4 linked regions of the Arabidopsis thaliana genome follow. The protein of the gene in region 3 interacts with the protein of the main gene of each other region in a pairwise test. Each region holds a gene or a part of one and is shown on either strand. Other genes may lie near its edges. The genes, in order: AT1G72210, MYB70, SWC2 and HB-2.

Evidence for each region.
Region 1: the proteins of SWC2 (region 3) and AT1G72210 interact in a two-hybrid assay, tested with the Arabidopsis thaliana proteins (one large-scale study listed by BioGRID).
Region 2: the proteins of SWC2 (region 3) and MYB70 interact in a two-hybrid assay, tested with the Arabidopsis thaliana proteins (one large-scale study listed by BioGRID).
Region 4: the proteins of SWC2 (region 3) and HB-2 interact in a two-hybrid assay, tested with the Arabidopsis thaliana proteins (one large-scale study listed by BioGRID).

What each region holds. Positions count from the first base shown.
Region 1 is NC_003070.9:27,177,376-27,183,122, forward strand, and holds AT1G72210 (basic helix-loop-helix (bHLH) DNA-binding superfamily protein), read left to right. Parts: upstream 1-2,082; 5' UTR 2,083-2,690; coding exon 2,691-3,158; intron 3,159-3,693; coding exon 3,694-4,092; coding exon of another isoform or gene 4,093-4,155; exon of another isoform or gene 4,156-4,797; coding exon 4,798-4,893; 3' UTR 4,894-5,081; downstream 5,082-5,747.
Region 2 is NC_003071.7:9,903,839-9,908,228, reverse strand, and holds MYB70 (myb domain protein 70), read left to right. Parts: upstream 1-2,196; 5' UTR 2,197-2,404; coding exon 2,405-3,334; 3' UTR 3,335-3,723; downstream 3,724-4,390.
Region 3 is NC_003071.7:15,405,588-15,411,821, reverse strand, and holds SWC2 (DNA binding protein SWC2), read left to right. Parts: upstream 1-1,909; 5' UTR 1,910-2,133; intron 2,134-2,367; 5' UTR 2,368-2,391; coding exon 2,392-2,459; intron 2,460-2,597; coding exon 2,598-2,667; intron 2,668-2,844; coding exon 2,845-2,916; intron 2,917-3,018; coding exon 3,019-3,062; intron 3,063-3,146; coding exon 3,147-3,420; intron 3,421-3,521; coding exon 3,522-3,597; intron 3,598-3,670; coding exon 3,671-3,790; intron 3,791-3,883; coding exon 3,884-3,952; intron 3,953-4,051; coding exon 4,052-4,094; intron 4,095-4,309; coding exon 4,310-4,375; coding exon of another isoform or gene 4,376-4,451; exon of another isoform or gene 4,452-4,560; coding exon 4,561-4,756; 3' UTR 4,757-4,775; intron 4,776-4,851; 3' UTR 4,852-5,200; downstream 5,201-6,234. Other genes in the region: UGT73C1 (UDP-glucosyl transferase 73C1), read left to right, coding at 1-1,291; AT2G36730 (Pentatricopeptide repeat (PPR) superfamily protein), read left to right, coding at 5,249-6,234. UniProt on the Arabidopsis thaliana protein: Component of the SWR1 complex which mediates the ATP-dependent exchange of histone H2A for the H2A variant H2A.F/Z leading to transcriptional regulation of selected genes (e.g. FLC) by chromatin remodeling.
Region 4 is NC_003075.7:9,446,728-9,451,569, reverse strand, and holds HB-2 (homeobox protein 2), read right to left. Parts: upstream 2,457-4,842; 5' UTR 2,280-2,456; coding exon 2,120-2,279; intron 2,017-2,119; coding exon 1,718-2,016; intron 1,450-1,717; coding exon 1,370-1,449; intron 1,282-1,369; coding exon 966-1,281; 3' UTR 665-965; downstream 1-664. UniProt on the Arabidopsis thaliana protein: Probable transcription factor involved in the negative regulation of cell elongation and specific cell proliferation processes such as lateral root formation and secondary growth of the vascular system.

The sequences.
Region 1 (5,747 bases), on a different chromosome or scaffold from region 3:
GCCATATATATTTGATTAATTGATCTATTTTTAGAAGGAGATCCAATTATCTGAAAATACTATTGTAACATGTTTCTTCTTTATTATTGTTGAATCATTGACATTCTTTTTGTTTTCAAACTAACTTTGCACTAATTCTTGTAACAATCTCTATGTTTGATCAATTATAACTTCGGCGATCCTTGAAAAAAATATCTAAATTATTTAGCTAGGAGCCTAGGACTATATATTATTTTTGCCTACTATAGTACTACTTGGATGGTTTTGAAATTATGGTATCTTTTTATGTCGCAAATAAAAACTAGAGGTACACGGACTTAAAGGAGACAAGAGTATCATAGCCTTAGATTTATTTTCCACCGTGTTTCTAAATAGTGGGATTCTTTCGAGTTTCGATCAAATGATTTTTCGCTTAGATTTCGTTTTGCATCACATATTTAAGTTGTTGCTTCCCTCTATTGGTTAAAGCGACCAAACAACTTTGTTACACAGCAACCCTAAGTCGTGTCATAGCCATCTAATTCTCACATCTTCTATACCGCATAAAAGTTCGATAATTATTAATTAGACTAATGGAAAGATGCCACCTAGTTAATATACAAATTAAGTTGGGATATCGTCTCTTATTCTTACATATGTCAACATCAAGAATACTTTGTTTTAAGCATGACATGATTACATTAATAAAGCATTACCCCACACGCCGAAATGTTATTCTTATTTTTATCCGTGAATTTTTTCTATGATCAAATTTGTCCGTCTAAGTGGATTGAATGCAAATGTGAGTGTTTAATTCCCATCATCAGTTGGAAGATCAGGGATTCTTTTTGTACAAGATTGGAAGATCAGGTTTTTGAGTTGAATATGGTTTGATCATCATCATTTTACGAACATTCGAAACTTGCATAGTCGAGTAATTTTTATCTCTCAATTTCTGTTTCTTAATCAATATCCACGTAAGTTTTTTTTTTTTTTTTTTTTAAACAGTTGTTTTTAAGTATCAAAGACATGGGAACCAGACAGTTGAAAATATATTTTTAAGACAAATTTACATATTTTAAATGTCTTCTAATCTTAATATTTTAAATGTTTTCTAATATTATCTTGTTTTAAAAAAAGAACACATATTTTCAAATTATATGATATTGTTGTTACTATTATTTCTTTTTTTACTATAAATTTTGTGACAATATATATATATATATATATATATATTAACCATTTTTCGGCGGTATAAAATAGTTTACCACCGAGTAATTGCATTCAATCGCACGACCAACAAGTTATAGTATTATTCACTTTGCCCCAAACTAAAAGTTTATTTTAGAAAATTCATTAACAGTAAATTTCATTTCCTTCAAAATACATTTTTGTTCTGTTTTTATTTATTTATTTAATATATTAACATTTATCATGTATGATGATTGATGAAGATGATTTTCTCAACATTTCTCTCCTTTTTTTTTTGTCTCTCAACATTTCTCTCCTATATAAAATTTAAACTATTGAACGAATGTTACTGCTACGAAATTATAATATTTACTCTAAGTTGTCATCAGGATTCTATTACTTTAAAAGCCAAAATTTACTAATCAAAAACTAGTTGATAGATTGTAAAATTAATTAAGCACATTTATTGATTTAAAATTTATTTTTTACTCTACAAATCGTGATTTCCAAGAGTTGTATCTATATAAAGGCAATATGCTTTCGGACCCATGCATGGTCTTGATGTTTTTTTACGGTTATTCCATTACGGGTAGGGTTATGTGATAAACGATATGATTTCATATAAAAAGAATAAATCAGCGGTCATTGTCTCCGCATGGTTCGGGGAAAAAATACTCGTATAAATAAGCCTTTAGATTTCGAATTTATAAAGCTTTGACGTCGGCTGATACATAGAAACAAAAAAAAACTTTGATGTCAAGCTCTCTTTCCTCTTCCTGTCCATCAATACGCGTTACACACGCACAATAGAAGCAAATTATTGTTTGAATACCTAAAAGAGGATAGACGACATAATTATCACCGCAAACACTCTAAATTTTGGGATATAGCTTTCATTAGATTACATTTTGACTCACATGGTATACGGCAAAAAAATATTAAATTCATGGCAACGTATAAAGTTGATATTTCAACATGTTATAATTTCTCTCTCTTCGAACATGAGTGTAACAAGACGAACCCCAAAGCCTGCAAAAACACACAGAATCTTTTCTTTGGTTTTGTGGACCGGTCTACAATCTCACGTGCAAAACCAAACATACACGATCTCTCTCTCTCTATATCTCTACTTTTTCTGAACTCAGTTGGTTTCGATTTTCTTCGGACCTTCTATTGTTAAATCAGCTTTATAACCTCACAAGCTTCTCCTCTATTCCATAGATCAAACCACAACTTTGTTTGACCTTTTTTTGAGTACTTCTCTTGTCTTTTCTTCTTCAAGTTTACTTAGTTCTTTGAGAACAAATTTCTGTTGATTTTTTTTCTTTCTTGTAGAGGGATAATTACAAGTTTAATTTCCCTAGAGTGTCTTTACCTTTTGCCTTGTCTCCCTCTCGAGACAAAAAGAGAAAGAGAAACACTTTCTGTCCTCTTTTTTTTTCCTCTCTTTTTCTCTCTCGCTGGAAACCTTTTCATATTCAAGTGTAATTTTAATATTTCAAGCAATTTTCTAGCTAATTATGGCCTTGGAGGCTGTAGTTTACCCGCAAGATCCGTTCTCCTACATCTCTTGCAAAGATTTTCCGTTTTACGACTTATACTTTCAAGAAGAAGAAGATCAAGATCCACAAGATACTAAGAACAACATTAAGCTAGGGCAAGGACAAGGACATGGTTTTGCGAGTAATAATTACAACGGTAGAACCGGAGATTATAGTGATGATTATAATTACAACGAAGAGGATCTCCAATGGCCACGAGACCTTCCTTATGGATCTGCCGTCGACACCGAGAGCCAGCCTCCACCGTCGGATGTGGCGGCGGGAGGAGGGAGGAGGAAAAGGAGGAGGACGAGGAGTAGCAAGAACAAAGAAGAGATCGAGAACCAGAGGATGACTCACATCGCCGTTGAAAGAAATCGCCGGAAACAGATGAACGAGTACCTCGCCGTTCTCCGGTCTCTCATGCCACCTTATTATGCTCAAAGGGTTAGTCTCTACATACAACAGTTATATGTATATGTGAGTGTGAGCGCGTGAAATATTCAGTCCTTTAGCTGTATTTCTTGACGTGTCAAAAAAAAAAAAAAAAAGCAAAGCCTATGTTCTAGGCTTTCAGCTAATTAGGACATGCATAGGCTATACATAGATATGTCATATGCATGTATGTTTATATGTTTTGAAATATAAATTTGAGAATGATGATAGATGAATGAAAGCCGTTATATATATTGACAAAAAATAAAAACTAAACGAAAGTCGTTATTTCTTTTTTTCATAATTTTATTAGATCATGTAGTCTCTAAATGAAAATTTTGTTAGTGGAATTGTGGGAGCATAAATAAAGTCTTGAACATCATTGCACCCAAAAAGGACTATACATATTATAGATTTATAATGAGATGGTGACATAATATATTTTTTAAAAAATTAAGGTACGAAATATAGACATGTTTGATTGTTTTTGCAAAACCTTTTGCAATTTCTATGTGCTAGACTAACATAAGGTTGGTGGTGGTTAAAGGGAGATCAAGCATCGATAGTAGGCGGAGCCATTAACTACTTAAAGGAGCTTGAGCATCATTTACAATCAATGGAACCTCCGGTTAAGACCGCCACAGAAGACACCGGAGCCGGCCACGACCAGACCAAAACAACCTCGGCTAGTTCGTCGGGACCATTCTCGGATTTCTTTGCATTTCCTCAGTACTCGAACCGGCCTACCTCTGCGGCGGCGGCTGAGGGGATGGCGGAGATAGAGGTAACGATGGTAGAGAGCCATGCGAGTCTGAAAATACTTGCGAAAAAGAGACCGAGACAGCTTCTTAAACTGGTCTCATCGATACAGAGCCTAAGGCTCACTCTTCTCCATCTAAACGTCACAACTCGAGACGACTCCGTCCTCTATTCCATCAGCGTCAAGGTACATTTTTTTCTCTCTTTTTCACCATTTTTTGTTTTTTTTTTCCTAACCAGATTAGAGTGATCATGTTATATAATACCGTTGTTTAGGGTTAGTGGGTTGAATTTGCAAATTCAAATTAAATTGGTATCTAATAATTAATGGGTGACTAATCATTACTCCCATTGTTGGTTTTGGTTCAATGATTATTCATTGATTGTTTTTCCAATCACAAATGTTTTGTGCATTTAATGTGTCTCTTATTAGTACATGTTGTGAATTATTTGTCTGGGCCAAAAAAGGTTTTCCAAGAACAAAAATAAAAATCGTTCCTTTTTTCTCGTTCTTTTTTACTTGGTTAGGGCTGGCCTCAATTATTGGGGGGTCAAAATCATCATTTCTTATTTATTAAAAAAGACAAAATTTTGAGTACTATCATAATATTGATTCTTGTAAGAATCAGGGACCAAAAAGATGACATATGCCTACACATGTGTGAATGTGTGTATATATATATGTGTACTGGGCATGTTTGGTGGTCACAACACTGTGGATGCACTGTGCACGGCAGAACGAAATGACGCCACTTGTTTCAGGACACATTCATAAGCTTCTTCCTCGAAATATAAACATTTTCTTTAATCATCTTTTTACCTTTTCAATGACTATATATCAATCTTTTTCATGTAACTTAAAAGAAAATATTAAAATAATGGGTTTATTCAGGTTGAAGAAGGGAGCCAATTGAATACAGTAGAAGATATTGCAGCAGCTGTGAATCAAATCCTAAGGAGGATCGAAGAAGAGTCATCCTTTAGCTAGTATTGTTGAATTTTAGTTATGGCACATTTAGAGGAGCTCTAATTTTTCATGTGTGATCTTTTGCTCTCTCTTTTTCATATATTAAATAATATAAATTTCCTTTTTCTTTTTGTTAACGTTAATTCTAATGCATTATATATTGGAGTTTTTGTGTGATTGACCTTTTAGACCTGATCACAAAAGAGGAACTAGCTTTTAAGAGCTCTATACGAGAATAGTAATTATAAGCTTGAGCAATTGAATTTTCCCACACATAAAAAAAAGGCTTGAACAATTTGACTGGTTATGAGATAGCTGAAAAAAATTCAACCACACTTATATAAATATACCGGTATGAGTCATGTGAAGGCGTCCCTAAAAGACTCGGTATATCGTGAATAACCGGCTTTGCACGGTTCGTTTAAGAAGGAATTAGTTAGAATAGTATATTTTGTGAAGTAATGTCTAAATATGCGCTAATTAAGAAAAAAGTTTGATGAGACTCTCATGGTCTGAATCAGATGTTTTGAACACCCATGACATCTAAGACACCCGCAAAGGGCCACATATACGATCGTAAATAATAATCTAGTCTGGGGTCGGAGAACACTTAAGTTCTAATCGGAGAGACTTTTCAGACTCAATCCACCACTAGTTTTTGGGTAAGCAAACATAGTTTAAAACTATATTTGCACATTCGCAAAAGGGAGATCCCTTTCCAAAGAAACACATTGAAAATTCTCTTTAGCTTATTCATAATTATTATTCTGAGAATATATTAAAAGAATGAATGTGATATGTATATGCTTTCTCATGAAAAAATGACTTCAACCTTTCTCATGATTGTTTACTGAACGAATGGGTTGAATTCGCTT
Region 2 (4,390 bases), 5.5 Mb from region 3:
GCTTCGATAATTAAACAGAATCTTAAGAACTCTTTTCGATATCTCTTACCTTATCTAACTATAACTTGAAAGAAGAGAATGAGGAAGCTCACGACAAGGTTCATGTTGGCATTGGAACATGTGCAGGCGACGTTTTTTGTGCGGTACACGGCTGATGTACGGTTTAACGTATTCCTTTGTATATGAGTATCATGTTGACAACAAATAAAACGACAAAGGAAATGAACTTTACTTCAACATAAATCTTTTAGACATGTTAAACTAGCTTATATCAAACAATGAATAGTAACGATAGGCTCTCAAAACTCTAATCGATCTATCCTGTCGTTTTCGATTTACGTAAGAATCTTATTAGTATCTTTTTGAATATCCAAAATAACTGATTTTTGTATATAAAAAGTAGTAATAATATTGGCATACAGGCTGGCTTCTTTAGTCAGAAAAGTCTCTGAAGAATCCAACAAAAAACCTAAACCACTTTTAACGTCATCCTTATCTTCGTTTTATTTTTCTTTTAATCAGAAAATCAAAAACAAAAACAGAAGAAACTGGAATCACTCAATAAGTATGGATACTTTACTTATACGTTTCTAATATGTATAGATACGTCAATTCAATACGCAAAATACAATTTCGAAAAAAGCGACGTTTGTGTTTCAGTGCTTTTAAATTGAAAACAAAATGTGTTTTCACACAACAAAATAAAAAATAAAAATATTCTTAAATTTGTTGTGAAACCAATACAAAATACAACGTTCAAAAAAGAAAAACTAAAACGACACACGACATATATGATTTTATAATTAAAGTCGAAGGAAAACGTAATTTTTTCTAAATCTAATGAAAATACCAACAAAAGTTTTTAAACTTAAATCGAAAGAGACCGAACCCAACAACTAAAATCATAAGCAACTAAACACAAACCCTTTAAAAAACATTAGTCTTCAGAATCAATAAATCCTTTATTTTGAAATAACTACGGATAAAATTTATTAAGTATATGCGATCAAACCAAAGATAACATTAATTACTTTCTATCGATATAAGAAACAGTCCCGTCTCAAGCTATAATTGAGCCTTTGCCAAAATAAAAATAAAAACTAAAATCTCTTAATAAAATTTTGTTTTAAGAAAATTGGGCCTTTTATGCTTATGATTGTTTTTAAAATCAGTAATAGATCCATGGCATTTGCCTAATTTGCCATGGGGTAAAGACGGTCTTGATAAGAGTCAATCTTTCACAACCTAAACTAAAGATTTTATAATCCGACAAATAAAACGACCGAAAAAACTTAAATACGTTTTTAGATACGACAACGATAATTAATGTGCATCTAATTACGTTTAAATAGAAATCTTCAAAAATTCGACCATACCAACACTGATATGCAAAGGAAAAACAAAGAATGTAACCTTCAAAATGCAAAAAGAAAAGATAATTAAAAAAGGAAATAACTTAAAAACGAAATGATTTAAATTAAATAAAAAAACGATCCACCTGTGAAACGCTCTCAAGTACCACAAAATGTACTCTCTCTATCACACACAGTTACATATTTCGTTGACAGCTGTCCCCACTAACAGCTGTTTCCCAAATCCCCAACCGTTTTCTTGGAAAGATTCTCTCTTTATTTTAGCCTCACTCTCTCAGACGCATTTCCCCCAATCGCACCGCCACTCCCTGACGTGCTTTTTTCTTTCTCTTTTAAATATTCAAATACGTATCAGACTACTCACGTTACATCTTCTTCATAACTAATCCAATTTAGAAATTACGCAAAATTACTTAAATATGTAGTTTTTCTAAATAGTTTTACATAACTACAATATATAAGAATTTTTAATTTGAATTTATTTTTTGAAAAAGGTTTGCATTTATAATTTGATGTAATATGATTTGATTTTAGTTTAATATCTTTGTTTAGTTATAGTTAGAAATACAGTACATGTTTAGTTATAATTTAACATTCATTAAAAAAACATTACATAATAATTTGTTTAATAGTATATATTTTAATAAATTTTAGTTTAGAGTTTATTTTGTTTGGTTCAAACTAAATTTCAGTTTTCTGGATTTTAAAATAATAAAACAAAACGGCATATACTTACATATTTAATTTGGTGTCAGTTAACTTATTTCAATTTGATTCAGTTGAAAACATAATTATGCACGTAAATAATCCAATTTACAGTTACGAAAAAATTAAGTTGTTGTTAACTAACGATAAAAAATTACCGGTAGAACCGGTGACCTCTCTAACCATCACACCTCGTATAAATACTCTCTCCTCTTCATACTTATCCTCTCAACAAAAATCGTTTCGTTCTTTTCCAAAATCCCCAAACAATAGAAACGCGTTTTAAACGATTTGATTAGTTTTAAATTAAAAAGAAGATCCGAGCGATGTCTGGTTCGACCCGGAAAGAAATGGATCGGATCAAAGGACCATGGAGTCCTGAAGAAGACGATCTGTTACAATCGTTGGTTCAGAAGCACGGACCAAGGAACTGGTCTCTGATAAGCAAATCAATCCCTGGACGTTCCGGTAAATCTTGCCGTCTCCGTTGGTGTAATCAGCTTTCTCCGGAGGTAGAGCACCGTGGATTCACGGCGGAGGAAGATGATACGATTATACTAGCGCACGCTCGGTTTGGTAACAAGTGGGCGACGATTGCACGGCTTCTCAATGGTCGCACTGATAACGCGATTAAGAATCACTGGAACTCAACGCTGAAGCGGAAATGTAGCGGCGGAGGCGGCGGAGGAGAGGAAGGGCAGAGTTGTGATTTCGGTGGTAATGGAGGGTATGATGGTAATTTAACTGATGAAAAACCGTTAAAACGGAGGGCGAGTGGTGGAGGAGGAGTTGTTGTGGTGACGGCGTTAAGTCCAACGGGATCTGACGTCAGCGAGCAATCGCAATCTAGTGGATCTGTTTTACCGGTTTCTTCTTCTTGTCATGTTTTTAAACCGACGGCGAGAGCTGGTGGAGTGGTGATTGAGTCATCATCGCCGGAGGAGGAGGAGAAAGATCCGATGACTTGTTTGAGGTTGTCTTTGCCTTGGGTCAATGAGTCAACAACTCCACCGGAGTTGTTTCCGGTGAAGAGAGAAGAAGAAGAAGAGAAGGAAAGAGAGATTTCTGGACTTGGTGGAGATTTTATGACGGTGGTGCAGGAGATGATTAAGACGGAGGTTAGGAGTTACATGGCGGATTTACAGCTAGGAAACGGCGGAGGAGCTGGAGGAGGAGCAAGTTCGTGTATGGTGCAAGGAACTAATGGTCGTAATGTAGGGTTTAGAGAGTTTATTGGATTAGGTAGGATCGAGTAGTGAGTGAGAAAAGAGAAGAATTGTGTAGCAAATGCAGAGAAAGAGCCAATTTCATGATTTGAGATTTGATTCATTCGAAAAAAAAACTGAATAAATGTATTGATTTTGATCATGACATGTCTTAGATTTAATGAAATTGGTCTATAAAAGGGTTGATGAGGCTGGTCCTCGAGGTGAATCAATGTTACCTTTTGATAAAGTGAAAGAAGAGCATGAACAAAGTCATTTCCATACAAAGAGGAGTTTACAGCATTCTTGATCTCTCTAGACTGGTCTTGCGATTCGAAGAGTGAAGTAATGAATTCTACTGAACCAAGTGACGATTTCCGTAGTTTGTTACCTTCGGTTACCGACTATAGCATCGCAGTAAAGGTTATAGTGTGAGAGACAACATCATATATAGATATTCAATGAATGATACAGAGTGTAGAACAGATCACCTCAATACAACTAACTGTAGCAGTAAGGCCTCTACCGGGGAAATACTCAAAGCACAAGGGAGGTCCTTCCCAATACTGTGGCTCTGCAAAAAAGAAAGAGTTTGATTGTGTTAATAACTATCAAGCGGTGTAAGATTACTGATGTTTGACAAGCAAATACCTTCCAATAGGATGTATGGTACCTTTCTCCATAGCAGCTGCTACAACTAATGCTTCCTTTTCACAATTTGGCATACAATACAACAAGGAGTCACACTTGCATCAATTCCTGCTTGATGATGTCCATAAATGGGTTCAATTGCTTTGCACGTAAGGCTCCTAATGTTTACCTATATAATGGAGAAGAAATATGCACTAGATATGTGTATAACTTGTTGTCCAAGCCAAATTTCCACAGCTCCATCCGGAACAACATCCTTCAGAAACTATCTAAAGAATTGGTTAACTTCAATTTCCACGGAAATCGCGATTTCTTGGTTAAAGTTGAAGTGGATGTAGCTGTTAAAGAGGTAAGCTTAGGTGATTATCACTCAGAAGAAGGTTAAAGTTAAGTCGCTTCTTTTTGCTTTGTGGATTTGGAGCTTAACTATGTTGTTATTGAAACTCATTAAAAACA
Region 3 (6,234 bases):
CTTGCCCATCAATCTCGTGCAAGTAAAGTTTCCATCTCAAGAATCGGGTTCACCGGAAGGACAGGAGAATTTGGACTTGCTCGATTCATTGGGGGCTTCATTAACCTTCTTCAAAGCATTTAGCCTGCTCGAGGAACCAGTCGAGAAGCTCTTGAAAGAGATTCAACCTAGGCCAAACTGCATAATCGCTGACATGTGTTTGCCTTATACAAACAGAATTGCCAAGAATCTTGGTATACCAAAAATCATCTTTCATGGCATGTGTTGCTTCAATCTTCTTTGTACGCACATAATGCACCAAAACCACGAGTTCTTGGAAACTATAGAGTCTGACAAGGAATACTTCCCCATTCCTAATTTCCCTGACAGAGTTGAGTTCACAAAATCTCAGCTTCCAATGGTATTAGTTGCTGGAGATTGGAAAGACTTCCTTGACGGAATGACAGAAGGGGATAACACTTCTTATGGTGTGATTGTTAACACGTTTGAAGAGCTCGAGCCAGCTTATGTTAGAGACTACAAGAAGGTTAAAGCGGGTAAGATATGGAGCATCGGACCGGTTTCCTTGTGCAACAAGTTAGGAGAAGACCAAGCTGAGAGGGGAAACAAGGCGGACATTGATCAAGACGAGTGTATTAAATGGCTTGATTCTAAAGAAGAAGGGTCGGTGCTATATGTTTGCCTTGGAAGTATATGCAATCTTCCTCTGTCTCAGCTCAAAGAGCTCGGCTTAGGCCTCGAGGAATCCCAAAGACCTTTCATTTGGGTCATAAGAGGTTGGGAGAAGTATAACGAGTTACTTGAATGGATCTCAGAGAGCGGTTATAAGGAAAGAATCAAAGAAAGAGGCCTTCTCATAACAGGATGGTCGCCTCAAATGCTTATCCTTACACATCCTGCCGTTGGAGGATTCTTGACACATTGTGGATGGAACTCTACTCTTGAAGGAATCACTTCAGGCGTTCCATTACTCACGTGGCCACTGTTTGGAGACCAATTCTGCAATGAGAAATTGGCGGTGCAGATACTAAAAGCCGGTGTGAGAGCTGGGGTTGAAGAGTCCATGAGATGGGGAGAAGAGGAGAAAATAGGAGTACTGGTGGATAAAGAAGGAGTAAAGAAGGCAGTGGAGGAATTGATGGGTGATAGTAATGATGCTAAGGAGAGAAGAAAAAGAGTGAAAGAGCTTGGAGAATTAGCTCACAAGGCTGTGGAAGAAGGAGGCTCTTCTCATTCCAACATCACATTCTTGCTACAAGACATAATGCAATTAGAACAACCCAAGAAATGATTGTAACTTTTCTTAGATTGTAACTTTTCTTTTGTATTACCCAAAAAAAATGATTGTGACGTTTGTTCTCGATTACTTCTCTTTGTTCAAGAACAATTTATGATAGTTTTATTTGAAATTGTCTCTATTATCGAATCTTATACTAACATCTTAGTTAGTACATACTTATTAAGCATTCGAATTCGTACACTCAAATTGAAGAAAAAAACACAATTTCTTATATACTTTTTTTTTTTCTGTAGCTTTAGAAGAGTGTAGAAACCTTCTCCAGTGGTCCTGCATGAGATCGCAACTTCGATATTGCTTGCTCCTTGGAGTTTAGAGGAGTGTAGAAACACTTTTTGTTTGTTTACTTTTGCTTTCTCGATCATGACAAGTTGACAACTCGTGTTATATCCAAAATGACATCATGCATGACTTGAAAATTGAAATCTATCTATGATATTACCATTTCTGGACAATTTTGTTAACCGATTTATATATCTTAACATCTTTCTTTTTTGGTATTATTTACGTTACGATTTTTCATCGTAAATTTAATTTAAAATTTTATATATGCCAGTGTAAAAAGAAATTACTCAAGGTCATTAATAAAAATAAAAATAAAACGTTTTTCCCCAGCGGTCTATCATTGTAAGTTTTATTTTACAAAAAGAATCTTCTAATATAATATGGGCTTTGAAAATGTCTAAGTGGAAGGCCCATTAATATCTCAAGTCCAATAACAATGGTGTACGAACCAGCGGCACCGTGTGTGAAAGAGTGAATCAAAGAGGTGCGGCGGTCGCCGGCGAAGACGTGTGCTCGTCGAAGAAACTTCTCCAACCTAAAATTTTCCGAAGGTAACTCCTCGAGCGAGATTTTAAGCTCATCACACAAATTACTTTTCATTCTCGCTTTCATGGGCTCTTCTTCGATTACTGTGTACATCACTCAAATTTTGGGTTTTTGTTCCTGTTTCCCTCTCGATATAATCGTAAAGTCTTGAAATTGCGAGAAACCCTAATTTGGGGGTTCCTTGCTGATTTGTTAATTTGTGTGTTATGACATTTTCGTTTAAATTTGTGAACTTGTAGAAGTAAGAGTTGAGCAAGTTATCAATGGAAATCGATGAAGAAGAGCCAATGGTGTTCTTGGACCGTACAACAAGAGCAACACGGGGTAAACGGTAAGAATTACTTGAGCTTAAGCTTTTACCTGATGAATGTGTTTCACCTGAAGATTGTGGTTTTGTCTCACTGTTATTGAGATGTATCAGAAACTCTCTTGTGGAAGCTTTATTCATCAGTTTTCTGTTTTTTTTCAGGATGACCAAGTTGCTTGATGACGAAGTAGAAGAAGATGAACAGTTTTGGAATCAAGAAGCTCTTAAAGAGGTTTGTTTTGTTTTATATATAGCTTACTCTCTTAAAGAGATGTTAATGATTTGTTAAGGTAGACTAGATGTCAAAATATATAATGGAAAAAAATCAGATTTGTAGACAAGATACTATCGCAGAAACTTTCGTGTGTTTGCTGACATTTATGTATCTCTTTACTTTTGTTATCTGCAGGAAGAACATGATGATGAATATGAAGCAGAACGTGAGGTTGCTGATGAGTTTGACAGTGACTTCAATGACGATGTATTTATGTCTTGCTTATGTATTGAGTACTTATTCATCAAGGTTTTTGCTTATATTTCCATTCTTTTTAATTTCTTTCTTTTGCCTTTTGTTTGGGATTAGGAGCCTGAGCCTGATGCAGTCGCTGTAAATGAAAAAGAATTGAGGTTTGAATTTTTTCAAAGCTTGTCTTATGATGGCTATTATGTGTGTCTGTTTTAATTTTGTTACAATTTTGCATATTGTTGTAGGGATCTGCCAAAGAAGCGGCTGATTTACCCTGGGAAAACTGCTTCAAAGAAAAAGAAAAAGAAGACGAAGGTAGTTTCACAACTAGAATATATTCCTGGAGATGAGAAGCCAGGTGAAGAATTGGGAAACAAGGAACAAGAAGAAAAAGAAGAGAATGAAGCACAAGAAGATATGGAAGGTGAGAAAGTCATTAGGAAATCAACACGGACTTCAGTGGTTGTACGGCAAGCAGAAAGAGATGCATTGCGTGCTGCTATACAAGCAACAACAAAGGTTTCTCAGAACTCATCCCCACTAGCTATTTACATTCATGGCTACACTTTAATCTCTTTTCTAAGTCTTGCCATGTTGAATTCTTTTTTGTGTTTGTTCAGCCAATACAAAGGAAAAAAGTAGGGGAGGAAAAACGGATGACCCAAGAAGAAATGCTGCTGGAAGCTGCTCAAACAGGTTTGGCTTTTATGATGCTGCATCTGATTTGCTCTATCAGAAACTCAAAATTGCTAAAGTCAGGTTCTTGCAGAAATCATGAACTTGAGGAATTTAGAACGTGTCTTGGCAAGGGAAGAAGAAGTAAAAAAGAAAGCGATTGTGCATAAAGCAGTCTACAAGGGTCCTCAGATTCGGTATCATTCAAAAGATGGTAAGCTCTCCAGTAAAATAGTAATCCAGTCTAATTGGATCTTTCCAGAAAAGTAAGAACTATATTTGTTTAAACTTTTAACTTTACATGCAGGATGTAACTATTTAGAATTCTGTAATGGTGCGTCATTCAATTCAGAGTTGTCGACGAAGTCTGTTCCCTGTAAGTAATTTTGAGTGGTGTTTGGAGATGAACATAAATGTGTTCATATTGATCTATACTGATCTCTGTCTTTCTTTTGGTTTGTTTTCTCTTTTCCAGATCCAGAAAAAGCTGTATGTGTGATTACGGGATTACCTGCCAAGTAAGAGTTTTTCTGTTCTTCTTCTTTATTCATCGGAAGAACAAGATCTCTGGGATGAACACAAGTAGACTCTCTTAGGTCTACTAAAAAGAAGTTATCAGTTTCTTTGATATATACTTCTCGAAAAGAAATGATGTTATAACCTAGAAACCTGATTATCTTTTCTCTGCAATTTTAGAACTAGTTCTTAGCTGTTGTGTGTATTGCTGATACAGGTACCGGGATCCAAAAACGGGTCTTCCTTATGCAACTAGAGACGCCTTCAAAGCAATACGTGAAAGGTGTTGCTTGATCCAATTATTGCTGCATCGATGTTTTCACTTGTCTATAGAAGTATTCATCTGTTGTTTCCTCTAACGGATCAAGCAAATGAATGTTATCGAGTGAAACAGGCCTTTGATATTTACATTGTCTTTATTAGTGTTAGAATCTGATATTTCCCAGTCTTATGTTTATTGTTCTGAAGGTTCATGGACGAACATGATGGTTTGAGAAAGAAAATGGAGATGGGAGATTTGTTTGATACACTAGTGGCGAAAGGTTTTGCAACAAAACAAAAGAGAACGAAGATTCCAAAGAGTAACAAATCATTTTCCCTCAGAAGCTCAGCTCGTTTCCTTAGCTCCGAGTCTGAAGAAGAGAGTGAAGAAGATTCAGATTAATAAACACCTCCCTGATTTGGTTAGTATATTAATATAAAGCCTTTAGTTTTCATGAAACATGATCATGAACTCACAGTTGTAATCATGCTCTGCAGAATCTGCATCTCACATGATTGTGATACATCATTCATGGATCTTCCCACGACCATGGTTTTGGTTCTCAGAGATTAGAAGCGAGAAGAACATTCATGGAGGAAATTTTCATGATCAGAGCTTTGAAATGGAAACAACAACACTCTAATCAGAGATTGATCCTCCTAACCAAAACCTCTGACACCCATCTCAGAATCAGAGAGAAAGTGTAATCTTCTGTATATTACTGACCTTGTAAAGATGATATGTTTTGGTTGATAAATATCAATTTCACATTAAACCGAACCGAATAAGCTTTTGATTTTACTTCGGTTCCGTTAAAACCGTTCCAAATCTATAAATATATCACCGATTTGAAAATTGAAACTTTTTGCGATTTCTAAGAGCTCCAATGGCATAATGATTTGGAGTTCAGATTCATGCTTCAAATCCAGGAAACACCAATGTCTTATCTTCCTCAAGCTATGTTCCTCAATTAAACACCTTCTACAGATCCATGGTCAAATCCATCTCTCCTCTCTCCAAAATGACAGCTTTATCATCAGCGAGCTTGTACGGGTTTCATCACTATCCCTCGCCAAAGACCTTGCCTTTGCGCGAACCCTTCTGCTTCACTCTTCAGATTCGACTCCTTCTACTTGGAATATGCTCAGTAGAGGCTATTCTTCAAGTGATTCTCCTGTGGAATCGATTTGGGTTTACTCTGAGATGAAGAGACGAGGAATCAAACCTAATAAGCTCACTTTTCCTTTTCTTCTCAAGGCTTGTGCTTCGTTTTTAGGTCTCACTGCTGGGAGACAGATTCAAGTTGAGGTTTTGAAACATGGGTTTGATTTTGATGTATATGTTGGGAACAATTTGATCCATCTTTATGGTACTTGTAAGAAAACTTCTGATGCCAGGAAGGTGTTCGACGAAATGACTGAGAGAAATGTTGTTTCTTGGAACTCGATTATGACTGCTCTTGTTGAGAATGGTAAGTTAAATTTGGTGTTTGAGTGTTTTTGTGAGATGATTGGTAAGCGGTTTTGTCCAGATGAGACGACAATGGTGGTTTTGCTTTCGGCTTGTGGCGGTAACTTGAGCTTGGGGAAATTGGTGCATTCACAGGTGATGGTAAGAGAGTTAGAGTTAAACTGTAGACTAGGTACTGCACTTGTAGACATGTATGCAAAATCAGGTGGATTAGAGTATGCTAGGTTAGTTTTCGAAAGAATGGTTGACAAAAATGTTTGGACTTGGAGTGCCATGATTGTAGGATTAGCACAATATGGATTTGCAGAAGAAGCCCTTCAACTATTCTCGAAGATGATGAAAGAATCATCGGTGAGACCAAACTACGTAACATTTCTCGGTGTTTTATGCGCTTGTAGCCACACGGGATT
Region 4 (4,842 bases), on a different chromosome or scaffold from region 3:
AACATGATCATGAGATCATCTTTTTCGGGGTTTTTGTTCTTTGCGGCTAAAACGTTATAGATCAATGCTCCGATGAGAAGAGGCTACTCTCCAAAGAGAGTAAATCCGACACCAAGCTGCTTACATAGGAAAACATGAACCCTCATGCTCTTACCTTTTTAGCAAGACAATTAGTACAAATATTACTACTTCATGGCCTAGTATATCCTAAATACGTTAAACGTATCCAATCCTATTGATCATCTAGCATTTTCAACATCTCAGAGCAGTCCAATTCAACACCATTGAAAAATCAGAGTTTTAAATTTAACATGTAGTGGGGATAAGCACTTGCGTTAACCTTTCAAACCCAAGAAGTGGCCCATAGCCTAACCTACATGTTCAATAAGGCCTAAACTTTGCCCATACTCATGTATGACATATGGTAATCTCTTTCTCACTTATAGTTGTAATGGTAATGCCAGGAACACTTGGGCCCAAAGTATAAGTTTTAAGTTTTTAAGTTTAACAAAAAAAAAAAAAAAAAAAATCCTGGAAAAACTTTTAGAAATTTCAACTATTTTTAGCCCACTATTTAATATTTTTCACATAGCCACATGAAACAATTTGGACCATTTAATTTTCTTTTGCATTTCCTACATCAATTGTACTTCTTGGTTTGTGGCTACTCGCTAGACACTATAAATATTATTGCAATAAAGTTTCTTGTGATAGTTTTGTCCAAAATATTTATTGCAACAAAACAAAACAAAATGATTTCAAAGTCATAATATCTGATAGCATTGGCTCTAAATATTTGTTGTTACTTGTTAGCATGACACATATATGTTGGTTTAAGCTAGAAAAATATTAATCTGTTTTTCTTTCTTTCTAAGAAAATACATACATGTTAACAACTACATGCATATCTGGTCCATGAAACTTAAAAAACGACCAAAATGCCCTTTGGTTGCAAGTAAAAAGACTTAGGACCTAGGACGAAGAGCGTCAAAAGTCAAGCCGTGAGATATCCTCGTCGCAGGAGCCCACGCATTGACCGGCAACGACCGGTGGTGCGCTGACGTAGCAGCCTGAGGTTGTGGTGGCGGGACCGACACGTGTTCACATGAAGGGCACATGGTCAAAGTAGTGGGTGGGCTCATGTGCATGTAGAACTGAGGAGAGAGCTTAAGTGCTCTCAATTCCGTTACTTCTTTTTGTAGCCGACGGTTCTCTTCCGTTAGATTCTCGCAGCATCTCCGTAAGAACTCGCAGTCTACCTCCGTTTGCTTCAGCTTTGTTCTGTTAAACATTTACCAAAATACCCTTATAAGAAAATAGATAAATCAGGCAAATAGAGAGATCTTTTGTTTGTGTGTGTTTTATTTACCTTGCTCGTCTGTTCTGAAACCAAACTTCCACTTGTCTTGCTCGTAACCCTAATTGTTTAGCCAATGCTTGCTTCTGCTTCTGTGAAAAAAAGTTGAAAAAAACCTTGATATCAGTCTACATTTACCAAAATGCCATTTATAAATTAATATCTGCATTTATGAGAGACCGAAACAAATAGTAGTAGTAATGTTTTTTCTTTGGTCAACATGTAACAATAGTCATTTTAATGTGAATATTTCATTAACGCGTTCTTTTTTCGTTTCCACAATTTATCATAGCCATTAATTTTCCCAGTAAAACCAAACTTTCTCGGGTGAAACAATAAGTAAAAGAAGAAAAAAATTACCGGATTGAGAGTACTGTGATCTTTGAAGGTCTCTTCAAGAATAGCAGATTGATCTTTGGAAAGTCTAAGCTTTTTCCTGGAGTTATCACCATCTTCATCGTCACTGATTCCTCTTGAGCCTTGTGGATCTGTGTCTTCTTCTCTCTCGCTTCTTTTCCCTGTAGAGCTTGAGACTGTACTGTTAGGTGAAGATACTCCAGCGTCTTCGTCGCCGTATTCCGCTGTAGACGGTGGTCTGTTCACGTCGATTCCTCGGATGAAAGTTCTTGTTTCTTTTTGTGACGAATCTGAGTTTGGAACTGCATGCATAAGATTGAAAAGTAGAGTAAAAGGTGAGACCTTTAAGGTTTTTTCCGGGGAAAAATAAAAAAAAACAGAGGAACGAAGAAAGCGATGAAGTACCTGAAGAAGTAAAACTCTCGTTCCATGAAGATCTTCTGAATAATCCAAAAGAAGAAGAAGAAGGAGTAACAGAAACAGATGGATTTGATTTGAGATTGATCTGTTTCTTTGGAAAATTCAAGCCTAAGCTTAGACCCAGATCGTCTTTCTCGAACATCATCTTCTGTTGAACTTTCTCAAGATAAGAAAAAAAAACTCTGTTTTTGCAAATAAAGTTGTCTGCTTTTCTTTTGAGAGATAGAAGATGAGAAAGTAAAGGAAGAAGAAAGGTTAATATATAGAGAGGCAGAGAGAGAGAGAGATTTTGCAATCATGAGTATGTGACTAGCTGGGGGCAAAATAGTTATTATTATTAAAGTCAAGAATAAACTATTGAAAACTTTAGTTCAATGGAAATAATTTTATAATCACAAACTTTGCTTCTTTGTCCCCCTCTATATAACTCTCTCAAACCTAAACAAATTATCAAATCTAAGAAATTGTGATAAAATAATAATTATAGTCGCATCATTAATGATTAATGTTGATACTATATTAATGTTTATGTGACATCAATTTTCTCAGTCAAAGATGATTATCAAACTATCACTAATAGATAATTTTTAGGATATTCATAAGGCGAGAACAAAATCTAATCGTAGTTATCTTATTTTGCCTTTTGTTTACTTTTTTTTTGTTTTAAACATTTGGACTTATCACTTTTCGTTTTATTTCAACCAAATTTTCTGTTGTAGGTGATTGGTTAGATCGTTGAGTCGTGAGAATATATGACCTAGTCAAACAGAAATTTAGAAATCCTCTTTGACAATTATTGGAATTAGATCTTTCATTTTTCGATATATATCACTATCTGCAACTAATAAAGCATATAAATTAGTAAGTTACCATGAACAATTGCACATCCAACAATAGTAAAATCAAATTTTTATCATTTCCATGGAATTTATCAAATTTTAACTATGATTGACTTTATTTTATGAGATTATTAAAAGTGGGAATGATAATTTGATTGCTATTGTCGAGAAAGAGTAAAAAAAATGATTACCCTTCTTGATGACTCTAAAGGCCAAAGAGTCACGCTTGTTGCACACTTTAAAAACCTTTTACTTTTAAACATTAGTGATAAAGTTAATTAAAGAAGAACTAAACAAAAACGGTTGAATTGAATTCAAACTTCTTTTTATGAAAAAATTAAAGAATTCAAACTTCTTTTCAGATTTTCTTCTTCTAACGCATGGGTCGACCGCATGAGTTTTACTTTTGTCGTTGAACCACTTAATGACCAAAAACAGTACATTGTACCAGAATATAAAATACTACTATTTAAACTTATTAATAACTTATAATGATGTTTTCTTTTTCTTTTTGTTAACTTAATAGTGATGATGTTAATGAGGATGTTGAGAGAGTATCATCATATACCATAAGTCCATAAACTTATTTGTCTGAATGATTTTTGAGTTTTATTTGGTTTTATAAAAACTGATGTTTTGTATTATGATAACTTTCATTTCTCACCTATAACAAGTGTAAAAAAAGAAAATTAATTATTATTATTAAACTAATAAAATTAATTAAAAATGTAGAATTATGTGCATGTATAATAAAATTATTAAATCATGCATTGAGATAAACATGGGTTTCATTCGACTTTTTAAAATGAATAACATCATACATTAAGCATGGTTAGATGTTTTTGTAATGCTAAATCGTTGAATAATTTGTAAATCAAATGGTTACTTGTCAAATCATATAATTATTTCATATAGACCCATTTTGGTCATAAAGGTCGATTAATGAGCATCAAAATCGATTCCTTTTATTAGTTGCAACAAGATTTTTCTTGCCTTCAAATCCTTAAAGGAGATTAATTCAGCATTGACAGTGAAGGTCCCAGTGACACGCCAAAAGAAGAAATGATTATAGAGATTGAAAAGAAATTGACGGTCACCGATTAAACGTTGAGAAAACCAAAGGCTGAAATGACATCATACGGTTGAGAAACGTTTTCAGTGTTGTGCCCCACTTAATCCAGCTATATGCTTTGACAACCATCGAATATGATGAATGAATTGGATCAATATGATTGGAATCAGACACACAAACTTTTCGTCAATCTGATTTTCATAATCACTGTGGGTCCTTTTTATAGTCGTTTTTTTGTATGTGCAATAGAAATGGTCACATTCAAGCAAAGATATTGAAAGAAGTTTTTTTACTACGAAAAATATTTTCGCTAAATAAGTACATCTTTTTCTTTTTTTGGCGATTCTTTTTCTGTTCAAAGAAAAAAAAGAAGGATCTGACTAGTTGCTATAATTAGCTCAAATTTAAAGGGATTTTTTTTTTTTTTAATGTCCAATTCATCTTACTTTCCAGTTTCTATCAATCAGAATAAAATAAAATAAAAATCAACCGAATTATGCTTTTAAAGGTTTAAAATCAGATTGAGTTTTTTTTCTTCTATTTCCCACCAATCAGATCTCAAATGAAACTTTCTTTAAACAGAAATAACTGGAAAATATATATTTGTTACCATGAAATGAAAGGAAAACTTAAAAATAGTTTTTACAATATTTAGTTATTTAACGGGTCATTTTGACGATATGGTTGATGTTTTCCATGGCAATACTAGGAAGAAGATTGGAACAAACAAAAGAGAAGCATGAGAAACCTTCCACTTTTACATATTGGAGACCGGAACATTTGACACAAAACGAGTT